Daphnia pulex: one gene and its partner. The protein of the gene in region 1 binds, or shares a complex with, the protein of each later gene. Links are inferred from orthologs where the notes say so. Each region holds a gene or a part of one and is shown on either strand. Other genes may lie near its edges.

Evidence for each region. Proteins that work in one complex are often made in the same cells at the same time.
Region 2: integrator complex subunit 9-like (region 1) and integrator complex subunit 12-like share a complex: the UniProt entries of both Homo sapiens proteins name them as parts of the integrator complex. The link is inferred for Daphnia pulex from reciprocal best matches to the Homo sapiens genes INTS9 and INTS12.

What each region holds. Positions count from the first base shown.
Region 1 is NC_060027.1:3,457,078-3,461,146, reverse strand, and holds the start of integrator complex subunit 9-like, read left to right. Parts: upstream 1-1,269; 5' UTR 1,270-1,407; coding exon 1,408-1,416; intron 1,417-1,485; coding exon 1,486-1,680; intron 1,681-1,744; coding exon 1,745-1,947; intron 1,948-2,007; coding exon 2,008-2,209; exon of another isoform or gene 2,210-2,271; coding exon 2,272-2,405; exon of another isoform or gene 2,406-2,472; coding exon 2,473-2,585; intron 2,586-2,649; exon of another isoform or gene 2,650-2,658; coding exon 2,659-2,839; intron 2,840-2,907; coding exon 2,908-3,347; intron 3,348-3,423; coding exon 3,424-3,614; intron 3,615-3,678; coding exon 3,679-3,846; intron 3,847-3,916; coding exon 3,917-4,033; 3' UTR 4,034-4,069. UniProt on the Homo sapiens protein: Component of the integrator complex, a multiprotein complex that terminates RNA polymerase II (Pol II) transcription in the promoter-proximal region of genes.
Region 2 is NC_060026.1:13,198,591-13,202,100, reverse strand, and holds integrator complex subunit 12-like, read left to right. Parts: upstream 1-1,497; 5' UTR 1,498-1,619; coding exon 1,620-1,790; intron 1,791-1,844; coding exon 1,845-1,948; intron 1,949-2,006; coding exon 2,007-2,129; intron 2,130-2,187; coding exon 2,188-2,304; intron 2,305-2,368; coding exon 2,369-2,849; 3' UTR 2,850-2,927; coding exon of another isoform or gene 2,928-2,976; 3' UTR 2,977-3,010; downstream 3,011-3,510. Other genes in the region: adapter molecule Crk-like, read right to left, coding at 782-813; eukaryotic translation initiation factor 2D-like, read right to left, coding at 2,928-2,976, 3,054-3,185, 3,261-3,510. UniProt on the Homo sapiens protein: Component of the integrator complex, a multiprotein complex that terminates RNA polymerase II (Pol II) transcription in the promoter-proximal region of genes.

The DNA of each region.
Region 1 (4,069 bases):
CACACACAACAAACACGTCGTAAGCAAGCTGCTGCTGCTTCCTCTTCTTTCTCTCTTCGAGTGTTGAGAGACACATCTCACATTGCTCCGGCTTCAATTTCTTGTAAGAGCCTTTAGCAGCAGCAGCTATCGTGTGTTGGAACACACATTTTTCTTCTTCTCTCGATAGATCACTCAACCGACCCAGCAGAGTATCGACATTTTTTTCTCTTTTTTCATTTCTGGTGAATAAGGGGGGAGGCCCCTGAGCTCTTTTGATTTCCCAACTACACTACTGTACTACTACTACCACCTACCCCATGGTATATATCAAACACACACACAAAAGCTTCTCTTTTTCATTCTTTTCTTTCCTTTTTGATATGGGAAAAGGGCCAGCAGCCGGGCAGATGTTTCCCATTTTGTAAAAGACCGTTCACTCTCTCCTTTTTGCTCACGTATATATATATATATACAGAGGAAAAATGCTCTCCCCTCTTTGGGTATAGTCGTTGGTCGTCTCCGACACCCATTTGTGATGTGTGTGTTGTGTTCCCCCCCATCGTATTTCATTTCCCTTTCTCTCCCCCTTAGTAACCGTGTCTGCTCTTATTTCTCTCTTCTCACACAGACACACAGCAGACTCCCGACCAAACACAGAGGCCAAGCCGATCATCGACCATGTTGTTTTCTTCATTTTCTTGCTTGGGTCTTGCTTATTGGATTCTTTTTATTGTGTGTGTGTTTTTTTTCTTCTGTTGTTGCAGGGGCATCAAATATATATAGGAGGCATTTCGACACCGGAAGCTGAAGGAGCATCACGTATCATCTCTCGCTGTGGAGAAAATGGTTCAATGACTTGGCCTTATCATTCACCAGTCCGGTTAGATTTTTTGGAAAGTTCCTTTTTCTTGGTTGCACCAAGATTTAGTTGAACACCCTACTGGACGGAGAACTGATAAGGGCGTGTCTTGCAACACAATCGACGAAATGGACGAATTTTTTTTTTTTGACAACCAACAAAACTGTATAGAGTGATATAATATTCTTTCGTTCTTAATCATTGACAAAATGTGTGTAACTTTGTAGCTTCTTTTGTTTCGCTTGTTTGTTGCGTATCCGATGGCGTTATTCAATACACATTCTCAAAAGCGAATATGTGATTCAGATTTCAATTTTTATTCTAGATTTATTTCTTTCGCGTTCCGGCGCTCTTATTTAAAAAAATAAAATAATAAAATAAAATGAACCTATCTTTTCAAGTTGAAAAATGACAACGCTGCATTGGGTTTTCAAATGTTAGTCTGCTAGCAGCTCGTGTAGTAAGTACGAACCGGACAAACAAACAAGTCTGGATCTGTCTGTCATATACCGAGTTTGAAATAAAAATTCTTTCTTGTCACTTTTCAGATAAAACGCGCCCACAACATGAAAATCGTAAGCATTTTAATATTTTCCTTTCACCGAAATGGAGCGGTCTGATAAACACAGTTTCTGTTTACATAGTACAGTCTGGGCGCCAACCCAAATAAACCCTGCAACATCTTGAATTTCAAAGGCGTTTCGCTGATGCTCGATTGTGGGCTGGATATCAACTCGGCCCTTCATTTTCTACCTCTGCCTCTCGTTGCCAGCAAAAGGCTCTCAAATTTACCAAACTGGATCCCGAGAGACACACAGGATGCTGCACTTCTTGATGGAGTGAGTTAGATTTGATCTCTTCTCTATCTTCGTGTCATTTCAAATGTTCATTTATCCTGTATAGGAACTGAAAGAATGTGAAAATCGAGTGTTGGTGGATGGCCCAATAGAGATACTGCCCCCTCAGTCAGACATTTTTGACATCTCTGATGTGGATACCATCTTGCTATCGAATCATGCCTGCATGCTGGCCCTGCCATTCATCACTGAAGAAACTGGCTTTAAAGGGAGGGTATATGCAACTGAACCCACCTTGCAGATTGGAAGGTATGCAACCTGCAATTGTTGTCACACAATATTGAGACTATATTGTATTCTTTGTCGTAGGCTCTACATGGAAGAACTGGTCAACTACTTGGAAAGGACTCCCAAAAATCAGCGAGCAAACAGATGGAAGCAAGTACTCCAGTCTCTTCCTCCTCCTCTCAGTGGGGCTCTGAGACCAAATGATTGGAAGAAAGTCTATTCCACAAAAGCCATCAATGCAGCCCTGGCAAAAGTTCGCATGGTTGGCTTCAACGAAAAAATTGTACGTCCTTTTTCGGATTTTTAAAAAATTCTTATGAAACAATATTAACCGACAACTTTTAGGATATCTGTGGTGCTTTAACTGTGATGGCCGTCAGTTCTGGATATTCCCTTGGTAGTTGCAATTGGATCATTCATTCCGGCTATGAGAAGATTGCGTACGTGAGCGCTTCATCTACTCTCACGACCCACCCAAGGTTCTATAAGCTTAATTAGTGTTACTTTTTTAACAAATTAATTTTATACCATTTTTTCCATATACAGGCCGATGGATCAAGTTGCCCTTAGAAATGCCGATCTCTTGATCTTGACAGCGTTGACTCAGACCCCCGTGGCCAATCCAGATTCAATGTTGGGCGAATTCTGCATGGCAGTTGGTAATTCAAATAGTAAAATTCTATTAAATTACATTAGAAAAAAACTAACAATGTTTCCTTAAACCTTTTGCAGCATCCACGTTACGATCGGGCGGATCTTGCCTAGTCCCATGTCACCCTTCCGGCCTTCTTTACGATCTGTTCGAATGTCTCTCAGTTCATTTAGACAATATTGGTCTTAGTCAGATTCCGCTGTTTTTCTTCTCTCCCGTGGCCGAAACTTCCTTGGCTTATTCCAACATCTTCGCTGAATGGTTCGGCTTGTCACATTTATTATTTTTCCGAAAATGTTTAGTCAACTTATCATCCTCATTTCATATAGGTTATCTTCAGGCAAGCAGAGCAAAGTTTATCTCCCAGAAGAACCATTTCCTCACGCCCATCTCATCAAAAATGGTCGACTGAAACACTTCCCAAGCCTGCATGCCGAAGGATTCACCAACGAGTACAGACAGCCATGTGTCGTATTTTGCGGTCATCCTTCCCTTCGTTTTGGCAATGTAGTTCACTTCATAGAGTTATGGGGCAGTCATAGCAACCACAGTATCGTCTTCGTTGAACCCGATTTCCCTTACCTGGAAGCGCTGGCCCCCTATCAACCACTGACCATGAAAATCGTTCACTGTCCCATTGACACGAGTTTGAGCTTCACTCAAGCCAATAAACTGATACGCGATCTCAAGCCAGGAAACTTACTCGTTCCAGACGTTTACCTCCACCCGCCAGTGTCGGCTCCCTTAAGATCAGACTTGGTTATTCAGGGTAAGTCTTCGATCGATTCCTGTTGAACTGGATCTAGTTGGCCAGTCAGTTAACCTTATTCTTTCTTTTTTTTTAGAATTGGATCCACCAGCATTGGGTATGAAGTCCTACCAGGTGTTACAGTTACCAATTAAGAGGAAGCAGGAAAAAGTGCATCTTGATCCGGCCCTGGCCTCTCGTCTCGAACCCATCCAATTTAAAACGGGCCTTTCAGCTTCTACTCTGACTGGAAAATTGGATGCTCGTGACAATAAATTTACTCTGAAAGTGAGTCCTTTGTTCTCCTAACTTGTGACAGTGTCTCATAGCTTTTTACTATTTTCAAATCTAGGTATTAAACGAAGAGGAAGGAGGCACATTGTACAGTGCGTCGGAGAGAATGCTGCCTCGCCATCCTTGGGGCTCTGTTGACACAACTCAACTGTTGCATTTGCTCAGTCAACATGGTTTGCTAGATGCTCGGGTCGAAGACACTCCTCGAGGCGTCGTCATTCACTTGGTACTACCCCGTATATCATTTTGTCATTTCAAGAGTCGTAATAACTTGTCTTTCCAATTTTGTCTTTTAGCCAAGAGAGGACACTGTGATTCAACTGGAAGGTTCCAACACTCATGTTTACTGCCATGATGAAGCGCTACGGAGAACTTTGAGGGATATTTTGCTACAATGTCTACCTTGTTTGTGAACATCACCATAAATACATTCGAATTTTTCTCTTATA
Region 2 (3,510 bases), on another chromosome or scaffold:
CGTACATACCGCTGCCGGGCGGGCCGAGTCGAGCGCATCCGGCCATATCTAAATGGCTCTCTCTCTCTCTTTCTCTCTCTCGCGTTTTTTCCCTCTTCTTCTCTCACCACTGTGTTCCCCCCTTCCAAACAACATACACGCACTCACTTCCTATACCACACCATCACATCCTCTCCCAGACTTCATCATTTTTTGGGGCTTTTTTCTTTCTCGGGAATGCGTCGCCATTTTCACTCGTATTAAAACCAACACATATGTGATCATCCGAGATTCCAGCTGCGTCATCTACCACCGGCGCCTGTTTCTACCACCACCCCTTTGCCCCATACAACATCTAAATATTTATCACGACGCCCACCCCTCGGAAAATCCATGGCCTATCTTAGATGACTCTCCGGATATACGGGAGAGAGGGGACCGACCAGCAGGATGTAGAGAAAAAGGCAGTAGAGGAGTTAATCTTCATGATCATCATCTGTCAGGAATCAGTCATTTAATTGAGAGAGAGAATAAGGACATTGGCAATATGAGAGACTTTCTAAATCGAGGATGCAGGATGCATCACTGATTCTCTCATTTCTAAACAATCTTCCTTTTTTTTCTTTACCGTCTGGCTGGGGGGTTTTACTTGAAACCTAAATTTAGAAGCTAGAAGTTATCTGGTGGTTGCAGCCAACACAAACAAACAGCAATTTCCTGAGAAATTCACACCAACTTCTGGCTGATGAAGGAATGAAACAAATGACCTGTTAGAGATTAAAAAGGAATTTAAATGATTTACCTGTTCCTGTCGGCTGGCTCAAATGTAGACATGGCAGCAAGCGAAATGGGGTGGAAGCTTGCACAATCCAAGAATTTGTTCGTCAATTAGAAAATCCCCTCACACCCTTTTGTGAGGTGACTAAATGTCTTTTATCTCGACTTGAAAACAATCGACAACCGTGTCCAACAGGCCTCACATCCTCACTGAACCTCATACAGCACATATAACATCACTTTGATATGTAATCATCACAGGAGACGTGATATAACTAGTAACCTTTCGATCGTTCAAACGGATTCTATAATCACCAAATCAACTACACATCTCCTTTTCGTTGTGAGGTAATCACAGAGAGAAGAACAACGGCTATCTTGATCCTAAAAATTTGTGTTAAAAAATAACTCGTCGAAAGCTAAAACCAAACCAGCAACAGCGAGTCCGTCTGTGCAGAAGCAGAATATGAATGTCTTTCTGGCTAGACTCACAAATCTATCTAAGCCGTCGTTAGCAAACTACCGCTAGGTGTCATCGCTGAGTCTTATCGCTATTTATAGAATTCTTGATAAAACTCCGAATTTCTTTCTTTTTTAAAAATAAGACATCACATTGCGCGCTAATTAAATTTGGTGTCAAAATTTGCATACTTTTTGTTCATTAATAAAAAGAAAGTGTTGAAAATAAAATTGCACAATTTATTGAATCTGCCACCAGAGGGCCATTTCCTTCTTCACATTTATTTTGAAGTTGATGTTGATTCGGACAGAAGTGCTGTCGTGAATGGTTTGCTTTGAAAATAGCTCCAAGAACTCATTACAAATATTTACTATTATTAATATTTTAAATTCTAAGTTTGATAATGGATGGTCTTATTGAACCATATTTAATTAAAGCTATCAGTCTTTTGCATTCTAGTGCTAAAGATTCTGGTGACCAATTGAAATCTATGTTGGATGAAGCCATAAGATTAAAGAATGAAACCAACTCTTCTGTCAGCAAGTTGCCACCACCTTTGACGATGATCAAAAGGGTAATATATTTTTACTTTTTTTATGCTGTTGTGATTAAATCTCTTGCATTACAGGAAACAAAGAAGAAAAGTGACTTCTTCATTGATGAAGATGTTCCTCTCAGTAAAAGAAGGAAGGAATCTCCTCGATCTTCACAACCTTCATCTCCATCTTCTAGGTATGTATCCACAGTTTTGGATAAACTTTATACTAGTTAACTAAGTCTTGTATTACAGTGTTCTTGAGAAAAACAAGGAATCTAAGCGAAAACATGATAACATGTTCAATGATGATGAAGTTGTTCCAAAGAAATTCAAAGATTCCCCTCGTTCTTCACAGCCTGGCTCACCAGCTGGGAGGTGTTTTCCATTTGATTTCTTATTTATTAATTTTATTTTTAAAATTATATTTTCCTAGTTCACCACGAAATTCGAGATCTCCAAGTGTGGCTCGAAAAAGCGACGACCTCGATTCTTTGAATGACGCCGATGACTTGGCTCAGGAAATTATGGATCTTCACTGTGTTATTTGCACGTAAGTCTTATTGTTTGTTATAGTGATAAAAATATTCAAACTTTTTCCTCTCTCTACGTAACAGTGGCCTGGATGTTACTTCTGGAAATCAGCTCGTAGAGTGCCAAGAATGTCACGGCCTTTATCACCAGGAATGCCACCAACCGAATATTAGCGACGCCGAAGTTAACGATCCTCGATCCGTCTTTTTCTGTTCCGATTGTAGCAAGTCAATGAAAAAGACCGCTAGTCGACCTAAATCAAGTAGCAGTAGGGAAAGTCCCATCACTTTCTATAAAAGTCGATCTGACTCTCCGAGTTCCGTGAGTGGCAAAAGCTCAGCCGGCCTGGTAGTTAACTTCAGCAAACAGCAAACCTTGCCCCAGAAGCCAAATGGCGGCAGCGGTGCTTCAAGTAAGTCAACAAGCTCATCGAGCAGCAGTAGCAATTCTTCATCTGGAAATACTATTGGCAACACATCCCTCATTAACGCCGATAAACGACTGCAGAACATTAAGAAACGGGCTGCCACAAAATTGCAAGAAAAACGGAAACCTGGAAAATAGTCGGTTGTATATTAAACAGGCACCATCTTTCCGTGTTGTTTATTTCGGATTCCATTCTCTTATACAATTTCGCAAAAATTATTTTTTATTTTTGGCTTTTTTTAAGTCGAATCCTTGGATAAATTGCCTGTTAGAAAAAAGATAAAATTTTGTAAAGTTAATATTTATTTCTATTATTTTATTATTTAGTTTTAAAAAAATTACTTGGGAATTCCGTATTCATCGATGAGCAAATTTCCGACAAAACTAATTTGGTTACCCTGTACCAACACCAATTGACCCTTTTTAGCTGGAGAGCTGGTTATTGTTGTGCTAGCCGCCACGCCTACTTGGCACCTATTCAAACAGACAAGAGAAATTCGCTTACTTTTAAGAGACCCCTTCACCTAAAGAATGTGAGACCATTGGTACCTTCGAGCAAATTCGTCCAAGTCGATCCTGTACGTCTCAAGGCCACTGATGAGGGTGACCTTCTTGTTGCCAGCTCTCGATGCCGTGGTAATCTCGACTGGCTCCAACTCTCCTTTCACGATGACGGGAGCCGACTGGTTTGGGAAGATCATTTCATAAACTGTTGAAAGTTTAGCTTGACAGCGGCTCATTAGCTCTTCCCAGCTAAGCGAAGCTGCTACTTCGCCTTTTTTTAACATGACGTCACTCA